4 linked regions of the Schizosaccharomyces pombe genome follow. Changing the gene in region 4 together with the main gene of any one other region gives a genetic interaction. Each region holds a gene or a part of one and is shown on either strand. Other genes may lie near its edges. The genes, in order: php3, ate1, rem1 and rps2802.

The links.
Region 1: mutations in rps2802 (region 4) and php3 together harm fitness less than expected from each alone (positive genetic interaction), as found in Schizosaccharomyces pombe (one large-scale study listed by BioGRID).
Region 2: mutations in rps2802 (region 4) and ate1 together harm fitness less than expected from each alone (positive genetic interaction), as found in Schizosaccharomyces pombe (one large-scale study listed by BioGRID).
Region 3: mutations in rps2802 (region 4) and rem1 together harm fitness more than expected from each alone (negative genetic interaction), as found in Schizosaccharomyces pombe (one large-scale study listed by BioGRID).

What each region holds. Positions count from the first base shown.
Region 1 is NC_003424.3:2,143,441-2,147,605, reverse strand, and holds php3 (CCAAT-binding factor complex subunit Php3), read right to left. Parts: upstream 1,926-4,165; coding exon 1,827-1,925; intron 1,680-1,826; coding exon 1,619-1,679; intron 1,564-1,618; coding exon 1,436-1,563; intron 1,281-1,435; coding exon 1,218-1,280; downstream 1-1,217. Other genes in the region: alanine--tRNA (Ala) ligase Ala1, read right to left, coding at 1-404; SPOM_SPAC23C11.07 (uncharacterized protein), read right to left, coding at 2,380-2,712. UniProt on the Schizosaccharomyces pombe protein: Belongs to a complex that binds to the sequence CCAAT located upstream of genes involved in mitochondrial electron transport.
Region 2 is NC_003424.3:2,075,901-2,081,254, forward strand, and holds ate1 (arginine-tRNA--protein transferase), read right to left. Parts: upstream 2,944-5,354; 5' UTR 2,831-2,943; coding exon 2,714-2,830; exon of another isoform or gene 2,660-2,713; coding exon 2,628-2,659; exon of another isoform or gene 2,587-2,627; coding exon 2,521-2,586; exon of another isoform or gene 2,467-2,520; coding exon 1,943-2,466; exon of another isoform or gene 1,897-1,942; coding exon 1,826-1,896; exon of another isoform or gene 1,785-1,825; coding exon 1,524-1,784; exon of another isoform or gene 1,485-1,523; coding exon 1,380-1,484; 3' UTR 1,207-1,379; downstream 1-1,206. Other genes in the region: serine/threonine protein kinase Pit1, read right to left, coding at 1-346; AAA family ATPase Elf1, read right to left, coding at 3,374-5,354.
Region 3 is NC_003423.3:1,952,191-1,956,610, forward strand, and holds rem1 (meiosis specific cyclin Rem1), read right to left. Parts: upstream 2,523-4,420; coding exon 2,061-2,522; exon of another isoform or gene 1,976-2,060; coding exon 1,229-1,975; downstream 1-1,228. Other genes in the region: SPOM_SPBC16E9.20 (uncharacterized protein), read left to right, coding at 1-171; phosphatidylserine decarboxylase Psd1, read left to right, coding at 3,519-4,420. UniProt on the Schizosaccharomyces pombe protein: Required for pre-meiotic DNA synthesis and S phase progression. Regulates levels of meiotic intragenic recombination.
Region 4 is NC_003421.2:1,825,288-1,829,366, forward strand, and holds rps2802 (40S ribosomal protein eS28), read right to left. Parts: upstream 2,080-4,079; 5' UTR 2,074-2,079; coding exon 2,006-2,073; exon of another isoform or gene 1,956-2,005; coding exon 1,817-1,955; 3' UTR 1,763-1,816; downstream 1-1,762. Other genes in the region: TRAPP complex subunit Trs130, read left to right, coding at 1-149, 194-619, 662-1,762; msh6 (DNA mismatch repair protein), read right to left, coding at 2,515-4,079. UniProt on the Schizosaccharomyces pombe protein: Component of the ribosome, a large ribonucleoprotein complex responsible for the synthesis of proteins in the cell.

The sequences.
Region 1 (4,165 bases), on a different chromosome or scaffold from region 4:
TTCTTAAGACCGTAAACGTTGGTAAGTAGGTCCCAGGCCATTGCGATAGCTTCTTTTTTAAAGTAATCGCCGAAAGACCAATTACCCAACATTTCAAACATAGTATGATGATAGTTGTCTTTACCAACGTCCTCCAAATCATTGTGTTTTCCACCAGCACGAATGCATTTTTGAGAATCACAAGCGCGTTTTAATTTAGCGAAATCACTAGAAGGATCAACAGTTCCCAGGAAAATGGGTTTAAACTGGTTCATACCAGCGTTCGCAAAAAGTAAGGTAGGGTCATCGTAAGGAATTACAGAAGAGCTAGGAACAATAGTATGTCCGTGATCTTCAAAGTACTTCAAAAACGTACGCCTGATCTCATTGGCAGGCCAATTAACTACCTCTGATTCGGCGGTCATGAGGTCTCTGCGGTGTAGTGTAGGTAAAGGATAAGAAGGAGTGTGGGTTGAAATTTTTAAGCGCGCAAACAATGAAGACTTAGTATTGATAACGCTTTGATGTGTTAATCGAAACTTATTACGGCAATTTAAATTAGTTATTTTAGATAAACAGATGGGAAACGAGGCACGAATCCCTAACATACGAAGTTGGTGGAATCTATTAGAATCGGTGGACGGAAAATGACCCTGGTATTATATAGCCGTACGCTGAGAAGGTAATTTACATACTAGCTACAGCAGGATTAAACACTTTCCTGACAATAAGAAAATTTATTGATTGATACGTATATGACTACGGAAACATCGGCTAATCCTTCCATGAACCGAATGACTATATGTGTCTTATGCTGATTTCGGTGAAATAGACGAAATGAGTAAAAATAAAAATGAAATGCTATTTTTTTCAAAATAATATATAGGTTAACAGTAGCAGGATTAACAAAATGAAAAAGTAAGCAAAAGCGAATGAGGGATAATCACAATAATACACTTTAAGTAAACAGGCAATAGTAATTGCTAAATTTATACTGACGACATTAAGGAAGTTTTAAATATGAACAGGCCATTTTGGCAATATAGTGCTTATCTTTGAAACTTGGTTAAAGTAGAAATTAACATAGTTCGTAAATTAGCATCATTTGTAAGATAAACAGAGATAAAACAGGAGAGTACAAAAAGAGAGAGGAATAACAAATAAGGCGATCGACGATCGCTGCAAAAGTCAGGAAATATTTCAGGGAAAACCCCGCTAATGCAAAATATATAAGGAAATTACTGAGGCTCTTCGGACCGGCTTTGTTTAGTTTCTTTCATGCTAGCAGATCTTGCTTGTTGCTAGAGTAGATGTTAGAAAAGTGACTATGAGAATGAAATTTTGGTATGAGTGAATGAATTGTTGCGCCTTCATTGCTTGAGACAATTTAAATCTCTAAGCCAACAAGGAAGTAGAAGTACACGTATCACCATTCAAATAAAGAATTTTTCCTTACCTCTCTGTATTTGGTGAGAGAAATCTTTAAAACTTCGGCATAATTTTCGAACCCAAGGGTATTTAAAGCCAATAAAACATCTTCACCAGTAATTGTCTTTCTCTTTTCTTGAGTGCATTGTTCAGATGCTATTATATGGTCAGTAAATAACTATACATGAGGCTTTTGCTATTGATTCCATACCTTCACCAGTAACAAAGGAAATAAACTCACTAACGCAATCTTGGACGCAGTCTTTAGCTTCCTAAAAAGTCAGACATTAGCACTGCAACATGAAAATTACAAAACAAAAGAGAAGAACGCACTCACAGCGACCTACTCCGTCACTAGCAATCAATCAATCGAAGAGACTGACAATGCGATTTTTCTCAATTCAACAAATCATGCATACCTTGGAAATCTTGGCGTTTTCGGGAAGTGCCGATTTCATGATACGCGCGACATTTGCAATTGGTAGGAGATTGGTGTAATCCAACCCGTCTGCGCTCATGATAATTAAATGTATCTTTTACTTGTATAATTTAATTTTGGCGAGCAGAGAAACCTCAAATAACGAAAATAAGTACACAAACCCCGCTAAAATTGGTTTGACTACTAGCAAGCACGATCCTTGACAAAAATCGACAGCTGATAACCTATTCTCGAGCCTTTGTGGAGGGAACTAAAAAGAAATCCAATAATTCAGCAGGAGATGAAGATCCTAAAAGACGAACAAATCAAATAAAAAGAAATGACCTCCTTTTGAGCAATGAACGAGGGTAATGGCTTAACGTTAACTTTCTGCTTCTTCACAAAAGAAAGTAAACGTCTATCTACTTCCAATAGGGAAAGAAATCAGTAGTTGGTTATTGCGATAAAGAAACACTATGTTATTGCAAAAGAAACAGCAATTTGTTTCTACAGGTTGCAAGCAATTCGCAGACTGACTGTATCGGCCTATAATATTATTTAAATAGTGCAGTTGTAAAGTGGGAGATTAACAAGAGATACTGAATTCGAGTGGTACGATATATCGGTTTCCGACTGGGGCATCTAACTACTATTCCACCTACTCCAGCGGCGAGCAATACTGGATGGCTCTGAGCCTTCGACGGGGCTGCGCTATTTAGGTAAGTGGGGTGAAAGGCCGAAATGGGGGCCAAAAGACTTTCAAGTGGCGTATAAGGGAAACGAGCAAGACTTTTGGAAGCTTTAAGGTCCCAAGTGGGATGAAGGTGAAGGCGAGGCGTCTTCTCTTGAAGCCAAGGTTTCCCAGTAAAAAGAAAGTGGGATGCCATCTAATCCCTATGTCACTTTTACGCTGACAAAATAATCGTGATATACGTTAAACAAGAGGAAAGGAGAGACTAGCAAAAGAAGTGTTTTGTCATTCAAGCGACGATCCTTCATACAAAAAGCAAATAAATAAATCCTTTTATAAATATCATAAACATATCATTAGAAAACCAAGAAAAATAAATAATAATATGAATTAATTTAATTCAAAAAAAAAATATAAATATAAATATAAAAAAAGAGTAGAAGCGATTGTGGAAACTGACAGCGAAATAATTATGAGACATTTATTTTACAACTTACAGAGCAAATATTAAGTTCGTTTGAAATAGTTCACAATTGGTATTTACCGTTCACATCTGATAACTGAAGAGGAATTCAATGTTATTAAAATCGTGTTTGCGAAAAAGTTAATAAAAATAACCTAGCAAAGAAGATTCGTAGAAAAATGGAATAACAAGAAAGTAAATGTATCTTATGGCAAAACTGACAATCCAGTGTTTTTTTTTTCTACATTTCATTCATCTTCACTCTCCATTCGCACGCATACCTAAATATGTTCCCGTAGGGGAAAATTGCGTATACTGAATTGTTTTGTTCTACAACTCGCATCTACTCAACTATATTCCCTACTTGACTATACTTCTGCACTTCAAAAGTCATGTGTATCTATCCTAATCTTTATATTATACAGTGGAATGCACTATAAACCTAGTTGTATTTTTATTTCTCATTTCCTATACATCAATGATATATCAGATTAAAAGTTTGCTCCTCTTTCTATCCCATCTCACCCATCATCACTTGCAACATTGGCAAGGGTAATTGAAGGCGATGCGAGCTGTGTGTTGTCAAAAGAACGAATATGTTTTTTGCCTTTACCATCATTCCTACTCTTCCGTCCTCTCGACGTCACATAGAGTAATCGAGTGCATTACTAAAGGACACTTAACTAGTCTTATTTCCATACAACGCTGAGCCGCCCATTCATTACGTTTCCTCGACGCAGGCTAATTTACGTAGAACATAATGGCAGTTTATAATATATATGGCAAGTAGCCAGTGATGGTGAAGGGTCCGCAAAAGGATAGAACTTAACCAAGATTTCTTTACATAATAAATTCATTTGCCTACAATAGTTTGGTAGTCAAGCTATTGTTAAAAGAAAATTCAAAAGTATTGCAAAGACTTGTATTCATTGCAAATAATACTTTTTCAACAATTATCAAGTCAATTTCTATTTTTTTTTGTGGTAATTGTCTACTGCATAAACAGAAACATTTGATTTTTACCTAAAATTGTTTTATTGTCACATCTAGTTGTGACAAAATCGATTTCTCTGTTGTGATTATATATATTTTTGCTGGGATTTAAAAACAACAGTCCATCTTGTTTACGCCGTTACTCTAATTATAAATCCATATAGTTTTCGTTTCGTTTCGTTTCTTTATTCCC
Region 2 (5,354 bases), on a different chromosome or scaffold from region 4:
ACTCCATTACAATATGTAAACATCGAAATTGATCTATATATAAATCGAAAATATTAACTATATTTTCATTTTCGGAAAGTCTCAACAAAGAATGTACCTCGCGCAATCTGGTAGCATCAGAAACCTTAGCCAGCTTTTTCTTCATACTTTTTATAGCTACTACTTCTTTAGAAGGAGTTTTAGTAGTTGCAAGGTAAACTGAACCGAAGGTGCCATCTCCAACCTTTCGCACAACATTATATACTTCATCAATTGAAATGCATTTGCGAACCTCCTTGGTATACTTTGGTTGCTTGCCTGTAAATACGGTATTCGTAGTTGGAGTACCCCACAAATACTTCTTCATAATATATCCGCACAAAAATCGAGTTTAGGTACAAAATAGAATCAGTGAAGCACCTCAACAAAAAAGATAAAACATGCGAAATCCTGTAAAAAGAGATATAAAAAAACTTTGTTGCAAAGGCAATATTATACTTGAGAAGCAGCTTCCAAGTAGCATACAGCTTAAACGCAATAAAAATCAAATCAAAATCAGTGATTTTCAATAAAGAATGAAATTGAACAAGTAAATACACCTCTCTATACAAGTATTTATCGTTGAGAAATGGTGTAACTTATTCAAAGAAAAAATGGAAGCGGTAAATGGATTTAAGCCTGTATTAAGAAAATCACAGTGCAAATTAATGAATTCTTTATACAAATGGTACAAAAATAGATAAAAGAACAATCCCTTATTACAACACCTTGTTTTAGGAAAGTAAAAGTAAAATAACTTCAAAATGGCATTCGAAGAAAAAATCAGTGCCTAGAAGTTGAATTGTAAGCCAACCGTGATTAATTATTTTTAAAATGCAGTCAACCCAATTTTGACACGAAATGTCATCGAAATCTGGTGTTTGCTAATACTCTATAGAATGAGAACCTAGCAGTAACACTTGAGAAAGAAAAAAGAAGAACAATTAAAGTAAAATCTCTTCTCTAAATGATAAAATCCTTTCTCACCTACTATGCACTGTTTTGCGATTATATTAAGTCGTGAAGTACCGGTAAACCCGTTTTTGTGTTTGGTTGCAAACAACTCGTAACGGAAAAGCCCACTAAGTTATGTTAGGGTGACATTTTAGGTAGCGTGCAGTTATAAATAATTACAAAATAAATATATAAGCCGGCAGTATTTTATATTATTAGAAATGCTATCAACTTCGATTAAGGGACATAAAAGAGGAAACTATCACACATAAGTAGTAGCATAAAATTAACTTAATTCTGTAAGTCACATTGTAAAATTTACTCTCAAAGCCATCCTGGAGTTCATTAAGATTTTTAAGTAGGATGTTCATATCTTAAGCAAATAAAACACGTAGACAGATAATATATCAACTAGATAAAACAAGTGTATAACTCTTTGCGACTTCTTCGCCCACAGCAGCATTGATTTCAACAAACCAATGTTTAACCTGAGGGAAATAACTTAAAACATGCTGAAGAATTAGCATTGTTACTCAAAAATAAAGACATACTCTTGTGGGGAAAGTTGAATTGCCAATGTTAGCAAAATTCTCCGAAACCAAGGACTCAGCAACATTTACTGAAAGAATTCCAGGAAGCTGTCGATTAAACAGTGTATAATCATCTTCGTTTTGAGATGAATCTTCAGAAGAATCGTAGTCAACAGCAGTTTGAATATCACTATTATTTTCATCCCCGAAACTTATATATTTAGGAGCACCAGTATTCCAAAGTGAAGTAAAGTTTTCAATTGGTATCCATTTATTTGTACCCTGTTTGTATTAGTTCAAGTTAAAATCGAATGTATACGTACGGGATTAAGCAGGTACGATGGACTATACGTTGCCTTATACTTCATTTTGGGACATGTGTGAATATAATAACCTGCAAGGTCAATCAACGTAATTAAATAAATGACATTTTAGCCTACCCATGTAGTAGTACCGATATCCGCATTCAAGAGCAAGCCAGATTTCACGGCAGGCACTAATCCTTCCCAGAGAAAACTTAGACATATCAGGATCATAAAACAGATAAACGCTAGAAACACCATGTGGTAGCAAGTCTAAAACTCCAACTGCCACAAGCCTTCCTTGAAATCGATACATCTGATGATAAGAACCATACTTTATCCCCTTGTCTTCATTAAATAAAGGAGAGTTGCAAAGAAACCTGCTAAATCCTTTTTTCGTGATTTCCTCTTCTTTCTCTAAATGAACTTGCATTTGATACTTTTTGAAGACTTCAAATTTCTCATCGGTGTAAGTGCAAGGCTCCATAGTTACAGAGTATTTTTCAGCTCCGAGCGATTCTATAGTTTGAAAGGCATTGTTCAAATAATCTGTGCTAATTTCGCTTTTCATAGGTTTTAATGGCTTTCCATTTACATATTTGACCCATTTTTTTATTGCCTTCTTTTGCTCTTTTGCAATTTTAAAATTATAGCTGTCGAGTCTTCAACATTCGGCGGTTAGTAATCAATCATATTTGGCGACTTATGCTAAGTACCTGATTGTATAAAGAGAACAGCAAGATGTTTTCCCGTTGGGTTTATATAAATAATGTCCTGAACGTCTTATTTTATATTAGCAATGTTAACTAATAAAGGTTTTTACCTCCATCCCAAATCAATCAATCGCTGGTAGTCCTGAGGTTAAATGTAGGTTAGCAAAATTTGCAAAAAGCAGAGTTATACGCTTACTTCACAACTGAGCTTTTCTGCTAATAAACCAAAATGCTCGGTCTTTCTTCCACTTTTACAATAACCACATTCAGTACTGACGTTGTACCCTGTGTACAACAGTTTATCCAATACCATACTATTGTTTGAAAATTTCCCTGTTTAATATTAAATGAACTATATCATCAGTAGTAAAACTCTTAGTTCAGTTCTTTTGCCTTTATTTTGAAGGCTCTTTGAGTAGGTGAACTAAGACTACACCAATTATTTCTTGAAGATTAAGTACCCTATTTTTCGTTGAGTGCATGTTTATAGAAATTTCCTGATTAATCATATTAAAAAGTCTATCACATTTTCATACGAATATCTAGAAAAAAACCCAAAAAATACATAGTTCTCTTGACACCTTTTACAAGAGTCAATGACAAAAGTGTATACGTCTAATACAACTATAACATGCACTAACGATAAACAAAACATATAAAAAGCGACTAATATTAATATTATCCACGATACCATCCACCAAGTTCTATATATATAAATTAAGTCTAAAAGGTATATCAGTAAACCGTAAATATGTAAAAGACCAACTTCAACAACTAGCACCGTCTAAAGAAAATTAAAGGATAAACAACTCTCAACTTGTCAATCCAAAGAGCGAATTAAAAAATTAGTCTGAAATTATTCTTCATCATCAGAGAAGAATGATTTGGGTTTTTCGGTGCCCTTGGGAGATTGTAACCATGCTAATTCTCTCTCTCTAGCACGTCTTTCTTTGGCCTTGATTTCATTTCTCGTCAATTTCTTCTTTTTGGTAGCTTTAGCCTCAATCTTTTTCAAATCTTTCTCCGACAGATCTTCAAACTTTCCATCGTCAACAGCGGTCTTGCCCTTACCGGTAACCTTACCCGCTTCTACATGCCAGTGTTCAGGACACAACGCAGAAACAAATTCTTCATTATGTGAAATCATAACGACCCCACCTTCCCAATCACGAATAGCAACAGCTAAACCACCTAATGCATCTCTGTCCAAAAAGTTTGTAGGTTCGTCCAAAACCAAAAGCTGGGGGTTATTCCAGAGACACGCAGCAATAACAACTTTAACCTTTTGACCGCCAGACAAACTACTAATGGGGCTGTAATCAGCAATGTCGCCAGGAAGGCCCACATCCTCAAAATGTGCCCTGATGTCTTCGGGAATCAATTCACGGAAACCGAGACCTTCGCGAGAAGATTCCATATCATCAAAAGCCTGTACAAACTTTTGAAACCCATTTTCAAGCAATATTTCTCGAGACACCCACGTATTGTATTTATGAGGCTTCCCAAACCATTTAATTTCATATTGAAATGACTTTTTTAGTTTTTGACGGCCAATCAAAGCTTCCACTCTTCTACGTTCGCCATTGACCGTAATATCACGCTGAAGCTGAGCACGGTCTTCTTCGGTAAGTTTTCGAGATTCCTTCTCTGAAACTTCGCGGTCCTGTCCTCCAGCATAACGCCATTGAATATATTGACTTGGCGTTTTTTCCAGATGTTGATCCAAGTGATGAAAGGCATGCTGAGCAACGTAACCCACACGCAAGTTGGGATGCTTGAAAACTTTTCCTTCTTGAGGGATTACTTCACCGATAAGAACTTTAATAAGCGTTGATTTACCAGCACCGTTAGGACCTAAAATGGCAACACGAGAAGATAAAGATAACCCAACGGTAACATTATCTAATGACTTCTTCTTCGCGTTGGGATATGTATAAGAAGCGTTTGTCATTTTTAATATGAGACGTGTGTTTGAGCGCACACCAGTTAAGATACCGGGAGGTGGAAAAACAAACTTCTCGTTTGTGGCTGTCAATGTATAGTATGATTTAGCTTCCGGTTTGACCTTGACAAAAGCTGAAAGATTACCTTGATAATAACCAAGCTTTTTTGCCTGGTTTTTAACACCTTCATAATGAATGATGTCAGTACACACGTGGTCCAAAAATGAAGAGTCGTGAGAAACTATCAAGCAAGTAATATTCTTTTGAGAGGTTAAATATGCTTCCAGCCATGCAATATTGGCAACATCAAGATGATTTGTTGGTTCATCCAAAAGCAAAATATCAGCTTTCTGCAACATGGCACGAGCCAACTCCAGTTTCATTTTCCAACCACCAGATAAAGAAGCAACAGGATTTTCCTGCATCTCCGCAGTAAAACCAACAGAATGCAAAGCATCAGCAGCTTCTTGACGGGTAACATTCATAGTCAGTAACGCCTTATCTTGAGCAACAAAGTCAAGGATAGCCATACTAGTATCCTCGCCTTGAAGACTATGTGCAACAAAGCAAGTTTTAACCTCATCAGGTGAGGGAAAGTTTTCAACCTTGTAATCACCAATAGCGCGTAACAAGGTTGATTTACCACAACCATTGTGACCAACAACACCGTATCGATGACCTCTATAAAGGTGAAGATTGGTATGACTCAGAAGCAATCTGCCACCGTATGCCAAAGAAAAATCAGTGTTAACTAGTTCCTCTTCCTCAATAGTAAGGTTTGAAATCCCATCAACAGAATTTAATGACTTATAGAAGGCGTGAAGGTCATCATATATCTTTGATGATATTTGTGAAGCCAATTCTTCCCCGACAAGTGGAGATAAATAAAGCACA
Region 3 (4,420 bases), on a different chromosome or scaffold from region 4:
CACACCCTTACATCCTTTTACTCTTTACTCTCTTCTCTCTTCTCTTCTCTCATTCCTAAGCACTCCTTGCATCTCGCTCCACTACGAAAACTAAACTTATCGCACTTTGTTTCTCCCCTCTGTGCTATGTTTCCCCACGTTGGCTTGCGCTTATTGCAAACGACGCAATGATGACGAGCCCTTGGAGACAGGGAAACCGGGGAAATGCTACGTCGATGATGTTTGCAAATCAATGTGTTTGCCAATGTTCAGCAACAACAATTCCGTCTGCATACTCTCTGAAACATTTCAAATGTATTTAACTCAACAAATGTTACAACCCAAACTTTTTCTATTTACGCCCAAATACGTTGATAAGCATCTTTCAAAAGAACTGCTCGTTTCATCAAATGACTGCTCCAAGGATTCCTATATTCATGAGCTGATATGGCTATTCATAGTATCATAGAGCATATTATCAGATAAGACAAATTAGGTTACAGATTTTTGGTAGCATAGACATCTAGATACACACAACAACAAGATATAGATAGGACCACTAGGTAAAAATTATTATTAATAAAATATATACCCTTACTAAAAAAAAAAAACAAATAAATAAAAATAAAATAAATTTAAAATAATAATAACAATAATAATATTTCTTTTTTTTATTTTCTTTATTTCTTTTTTTTTTTAATTTAATTTTGCTTTTTATTCTTTTTTTCTTGTTCAATTTAGGTACTTTTCTTTCCTTGTCTTGTTCATCTTTTATTTTCTTTTACTGTATTCTAAGGCACTCCTTTAATAAAAGGTACTTGGTAGCGATTCCTCTTCTCCTTCTCACAAACCTTTATTAGCGACATCTACCGCACTACCAACCTCTCGACATCAACTTGACCCTTCGCTTCTCTATTCCGTCCCACCCTCCCTCGCTTTTTACAAACCTTCTTACTTAGCGATACACCTTAATTCGAGCTTCTTTCACAAAAGTCCATATCAAGTCGTTCGTCTCCCTTTTCACTTCTATAACCCCAGTCTTTACTCTCTCGTGTAATTTTTTTTCTCCTACTCTTACTCTTCTACTTTTACTACTACTCTTCTTTTTTCTCTATTTTCCTACACTTCCCTCTCTCTCTCTCTCTCTCTCTCTCTCTCTCATCCTCTTCATATCTATCTTTCATTAAATTTCCTACATCTTACTTCTTCTTCTCTCTCTTTTCCCTCCTTTTTCTCTTCCCCCCCCCCCTCAACTACCATCCATCGCCATCAAGTTCGTATTTGTCGCAATCCAGTCATGCACTTGTCGACTAATCCCATGGAAATACGGTGTTGCATACTTTGAATAGATCGCATAGTGGTGATCAAACGGATTTTCTAGACATTTCAACAGTAGATGCACATACGAAACTAAACTCATATAATCATATCCCGTAATTTGAGGCAACGTATTGCTCCAGTTTTCCTCTTGCAATATAGATTGGCCGGTGTAGGCGCATGTCGCTACCAATTGACTCGCCCTTAGACTTGAAAATCTTTGTTCCACTAGCGATACTTCAAGAAAATATTTTATCATTATTCGCAGCTGCGACTCCCATTTGTTGACAATCGTCAATAGCCTCAAAAACGATACTGGCCCCGGCCACCCAAGTTGATATTGAAGAACCATAAGCATATACTTTTCCATTCCGCAAATATCTTCTCCTATCCATTCTCCCTCCAACACTATTTCCAAATCTTTCACTGTAGGAGGATGGATCTCTTCATACTTGCAAGCAATAAACAGCGCCGTTGCGCCGCAAAGTTTCATTTTCGATGCTGGCACATTTTGTAGAGATAGAAATCTATCCAATACATTGATCGATAGGAATAAGGATTCTGGAAGCAGGTTTATACATGTATGCACCCCCACAATCCAATTGATCACACTAGCCCTCATCTCTGTAACATAATATGGTTGAGCCGACATATGTCGGTAATCAGGCATAAATCGAATCTAAAAAATGTTAATAAATAAAAACTTCTTCAACTCCTTCATCTTCTTGTTTTCCTTCCCCCTTTTCTTCCCATTTTTTTCATACCTCCAATTTCTCCATGTGCGATAGGATTTCTTTTGCGTATTCCACAGACACCGATTCATCTGCTGAATATCTCATCTGTAATTCCTCCTCTTCATCCTCCTCTGCACAATTGTCATTTGATTCTTCAATCGCTATGCCAAATTCCGAAACACTGCAATTAGGACTTTGAACGTTACTGATCGAGCAAACATCCAAATCTACCAAAAGCTGTTTCTCCGTAAAGACTATCTCTTCCTCTAAAGGTGACGCTAAAAAACTATCATAGTCCTTTTGTATTTGCGACTCTTCAATTGAACTAATTCCATGCCAGCTCTGTGACGGAAAATGTTTATCTGATGGGCTACACCCATTTTGAAGGGATATTTCTCGTACCTGTGCGTTCACCCAGCCTTTTACGTTCAATGATTTGGAAACATAATTGCTTATTTCTTGAAGCGCAACTCTTTTGTTGTTAGAGTTCATGTTTGAATTGGTTCTCGTTGCTGAAACGGTCGCTTTAATTGTTTCAACCAAGCTCTTAGGTAGGCAAGTATCAGTCAATACAATTGCTTTTACTCTTTAATGATTGGGAATCAAATCAAACCGTTTTCTTGAACTTTTTGTTGTAAAATGGCAGTATGCTATTAGCAGGTTCTGTTTGTTTACAGTGAGTCAACAAAAAGTTGATGGTGAAAATGTTTGTTTATTTCCCATATACATATACCAACGGTCGTAACCTTAAAGTAAAACACAACCCAAAACTAAACTTTACCTCTACTATATCAGAATTCATGCTGCTTAAAAATTCCAAACAATGCCCGAATTCATGAAATAGGTTTTTGTGTTGATCGAAACGTTATCAAAGTAAAGCAAGGATTTTGATCAAAAACTCTTTTATTATTTGTATTGATGAGTTTTTACAGTCGCTCATCGGTTGTAAACATTCCATTATTTTACCGTTTTCGAATCATTGAAAACTGAACATAAGAAATCTTGCTACAATTAAGCTTTTTTTCTATTAGGTAACCATCAAACAAGCTTAAAAAAAATAATTAATTTACGCCTTCTCGTAAGTTATTATAATCAAACAAATTGAAATGTAATTGAAAAGAATCTCCTATTCTAAGATTTTTCTACAAACTTGCTTCGAAAGTTTCTTCTGCACTTATACAATGCTATAAGGAATATTCCTTTCTTCTAATTTTGATCGATTTTCGCAAAGTAGGATTGCCTGATACAATGTCAAGGATCTGATTTAATTTCCTTAAAAAAAAAAAAAAGAAAGAAAATGAAAACTCAACAACTTTAAATCATATTACAGTTCCCATATTTACTTGATATCCCAAGTTTACTACGACTTAACTTCTACCACTATCCTTTGAGAAGCACATGGATTCGAAGAAATAGCATATGGAAGTTTAAAAGTTAACGGGTCTCCGAAATCCATTCAAAAGTTTAATTCCATAAAAACAATCTAACATGCTAAAATTTCATCGTAATGTGAAGCCTCAATTTGGTGCATTTGCAAGGTATAGTAGTTTGGGAAAACACAACTCTCGTAAACGGGTTGGAATCATCCGCTTAGCATATGGGTTGACAGGAATCGGCTTGGTTGGATTAGCTGGCTTCGCTTGGGCTCAAGATCGTCACGAGAAAACGTATCAGAAGAAAGGCGTTCAGGTGGAGGGACCATGGCAATTTTATGTCCTTACCACTTTACCATTACGAACTCTCTCGCGTTGGTGGGGATATGTTAATCGTATTGAGATTCCTCTATGGATGAGAGTGCCAGCGTTTGGCCTTTATTCTAAAATATTTGGTTGCAACTTGACAGAAGCTGACCCCGATGATGTCCGCCAATACAAAAATCTGGCCGAGTTTTTCACCAGAAAGTTGAAACCTGGAGCGCGCGTAATTGATCCCGATGCCCCAATTGTTATTCCTGCGGATGGGAAAATCTTGAATTATGGTGTTATTGAAGGAGGTCAGCTTGAACAAGTAAAAGGTATAACCTATTCCCTTGATGCACTATTGGGCGATGAGAAGTTAGCTCGTTTGAAGCGCAGCCATGCTATTCCCTCTCCCGATCATATCCCTCACATTCGTCAAGAGGAGTTTGCCAAGTTAAATGGTATACATTACAGTTTACAAGATTTAATGGGTCATGATCATGGTGAACGACCAAGCCATGTCAAAGATGCTAGCGCACAACATATTGATTTGTTAAGCTCAACAAAAGTGGCAGCCAAATCACAGTTTACGTTGTTCGGATCAAGAGAAACGAATTGTTTATACTACGCAGTTATTTACTTGGCACCAGGTGATTACCATCGATTTCATTCGCCGACTGATTGGGTCGTAGAACGAAGAAGGCATTTTTC
Region 4 (4,079 bases):
GCTTTATGTGCGAGTCAAAAGTTTTTGACCTCGAAAGCGTTGATTCAGTTACATGTAATTATGTTCTTTCTTCGAGTAAGAATCCAATGAATCTACTATTTACGCTGCATAATAGTATAACGGACGGAAAACTTAACGTGCACTGTAATGTAAGTGATCCCACCTTTTATATGTTTATTAACAATGGAAATAGGATATTATTCCTGGAAGATATCATTTGAAGACAATAGTTTTTAAACTCAAAGACAGTGTGCTATCATTTCAAAAAGATTGCTTGCATTCTAACAAACAAATTGAAGTATTGAATCCTACCAAGCATAGTAACCATCTGTATATACTTCAATCAAAAATTTCGCAGCAGTTTCAGAATGATGGAATATTTGCTTGTATACCTATTATGTTTGGTGAACGATTTTACAAAGCAAGTTGCTCAGAGATAAAACTATCTTATATAGAGAATAGCGGTTTTACAAATTTGGAAAAGTCTTTCCTTAGTGAAGAATCGCATTGTGGCCTTGAATCAAAAACTGATTCCTTGGTGATAAAAAACATCCAAAAAGTTCCAGGAGTAGCCAAGTTGTATATACCCCTAACAAATACACCAGTTGAAGGAAATGAAGTATGTAAAAAAAAATATTTCACTATTGCTAACCTTATTTAGTTTCTTATTAACTTGAGCTACATCTTAGAGTCTGGGCAGACAGTTCGATTTGGTAAAGTATTACATATTGAAAATGCTGGGATTGTTGAAGCAAATTGCGAAAAAACAAATAATATGAGGGATCCCCTTACGAGTACAATATTTTTACATATCCAACCAAAGGAGCCCATCATTTTCTGTTCATGGAATTGCATGCGCAAAACCAAGCAAGGTACATATGATAATGTTTTTGATATACCTTACAACATTCCTGTCTTATCCCCTATGGATTGCTTTACGAGCTGCCATTTTGATTCGGATATGTCAATAGATTTGAAGTTTTCCATGAATTGTCTACGTCTTGCAGATGTCGTATTTATGAAATTATGTGTAAACATATGGGAACGGTTCGATTTCATTGACATCGAACATATCATGCCGTTATTAGACCACGCTTGTCAACAGATTTCTTTATCAAACATTACCCAAGGTACGGTAGTACTGCCTGAAGAGATTCGGAAACTTAATGGCAAGAAAATTTTAAACTCATTTTTTGATAATGAGGAGCTTCGGAATGAATTTAGTGAATTTATTCAGCATTTAGAGAGCGAAGTATCCTTTAATAGTCTCAGATCGTTCGTTCAAGAGTTTGAAAAGAAGGAACGATTAAAAAACTTACCCTTCTATTTTTCATTGCATCAAACAATTGGACCTTTACCCTTCAAAGATGAAATGCAAAGTACCACTATCGAGTATATATGGAAGATTCCCCAGAAGGTTTTGTTGAATAAACCTACCGAAATTACACTCACATTCCTTAGATCTTTGACACATTCAAAGAAAGAGAAACAGGGACAGTCCTTCGAGATATTTTACAATTTTCCAGCTTATACTACAACAATCTTGTTTGCTGGACCTACTCAACGAAAGATTGTATGGGAAAAAAATCAAACTACAGCACAGGAACAAGTTACGGCGGTGTTTCTTACGGCTGGGAGAGTAATGCTACCAGAAGTAGTTGTTCATTCAAAAGACGATGATATTTCCATATTGAAGAATACAAAGTACACTCTAGTCGGGCGTCCTTTGAACGATCAACCGGATCTAGATTATGCACCTTAATATGAATTTAGTACGGTAATAGAAAAACAGGTATTTTTCCTTTCGAGATTTTTTCTAGCGCAAGCGCCTGGCTTCACGCTCAGATTCTAACAAGACGAGAATATCATCTTCACGAACAGGACCCTTGACGTTACGAATAATGGAACGGGATGTGTCATCCATGAATTCGACACGGACTTGAGTAACACCACCACTGTATCAATATTAGTTTTTAATTCGAATATCTATCACTTTGTTACATACCGAGATCCAGTACGTCCGAGAACTTTGATGACTTTAGCCAACTTAACTGGGACCTTTGAAGAATCCATGTTGTTAGACCAAGAAGTCTTTCAAAATGAAGTTTTGTTGTGTTCAAAAATGACAGTCACGATATATTTTAGCACCTTGCTTCGTAATGCACTATCTATAGTATTTTGCCATTTCTCTCAAATAACGATGTGTCTAATCATTAATAACCTACGTTGTCGTTGTTGTTCGTTAAATCTATCTGTTATGAGAATGCCTCAGTTACGAAGTGTAATATATAGAAGTTTGCTGGTTAATTAGCTCTCCGGTCCTTCCTACATTTATGTTAATTTCAATTATTGTGTGAACATTTATATTTTAGTTGTTCAGTAGAAAAAAAAAATTGATTAATGTGAACATGCAAATAACGTAAGTAAATGGTAAATAAAAGCAAGCTTCCGCTTGCCAGCAAACGAAAGATATTGCTTTGAATAGTCATAAAACTGATAGAGTGTTGACAGTTATTATTCAAACGAATCAAGTATGAGAGGTATATTCACTGCTGTCAAAGGTTCAATTGACTTTGATATGCGCAACACTTGAAGGAAATCACTCATTAAAGCAATGTCATCGCTTGCGTTAATGAAGCTGGCAGACGCTTGCTCAAGTTCCGAGGCCTTCTCTTCGGCCGCATCAATTACCTTCTCAGGTAAGCCGGCCATACTAGCAACATTCATACCGTAAGACTTAGGGCAAATACCATCTTCCAGCTTATACAAAAACGTTACACGTCTGATTTTTTCATCAACAGCTGCAGCCATCTGCATCAATCGTACTTGTCGATGATGCATAAAATCAACGCAAAGACTTTGATAATGTGTAGAAAAAAATCCCAAACACCCAATATTAGAAACCAAATGATGAAGTACAGCGTAAGCTATCGCGTGACCATCATAAGTACTAGTTCCACGACCTAGTTCATCTAAAATTACCAAACTTTTAGGTCCACATTCGTCCAAAATTTTCTTTGTCTCCGAAAGTTCAACCATAAAAGTACTTCGTGCCGACATTATATCATCATTGGCACCTAATCTAGTGTAAATGCTGGTCATAGGTGTTATACTAGCACGTTTAGCCGGAACCCAGCACCCTAGTTGAGCCATTATAACAGCAATACAGACTTGACGCAATAATGTGGACTTTCCAGCCATGTTTGGACCGGTCAAAACAATCATGTTTGGGGATTCACCTCCTAAAACGACATCATTAGGAACGAAAGTTGAAGCCGCACTTGCGTTTATACAAGGATGTCTCAACTCCTCAAAATACAAGTGTCCGTCCTTCTGTTCAATAATTTCCGGTCTACAATATGGCTCACCCAACGCTGCGGCTGCTTGACTAAGGCTGAAAAAGCAATCAATAGATGCAGTATATTTAATTAAAGCCAACCATTGCTCATAATTAGAATCGAATCGAATATAAAATTTCTCCTGCATTCGCGACATAATTGCTAAATGAAGCTCTTCCGCCTCTAGTAATTTCTTTATTTTCTTTCGTAGTTCATCATTATAGTATCGATTGGTTTTTTTGGTACCTGACATTTTGCACCAATTAACCGGTACTTTAACATCGCTTGGGACTTCGACCTGATAAACCTCTTTACCAATATTTTTAAAATTAAGAGACGAGCACCTTAGCTGCTTCTTGTATTGCTCTAAAAGCGCATACAATTCGTTTTTAAGTTCGGACTGGTATTTTTGAGAAGTATCATATTCGGCTTCAAAGCCAATCTCTGGTTCGAAAACACCTTCTTCTGAAGCCTTTTGCCAATTGAAAGCTCGGGTCCATGCTTCTAATTCCTCTTTCATGTTAGGTGCACTTTGAATTATCTCTCCTAGTAAAGTTCCTTCAGCGACTTCCATGAATTCCTCGCGAAGCTGATCAAATGCACTATTTATTCGTTGGAATCCTTCTAATACTCGAACAAAATCTGCGGGTTTACTTCTTCCGGCATGCACCCGTGATATCAACCGTTCCAAGTCAGGAAGTTTATGTAGAAACCCCCAAATGGTATCTCGAATAACAGGGT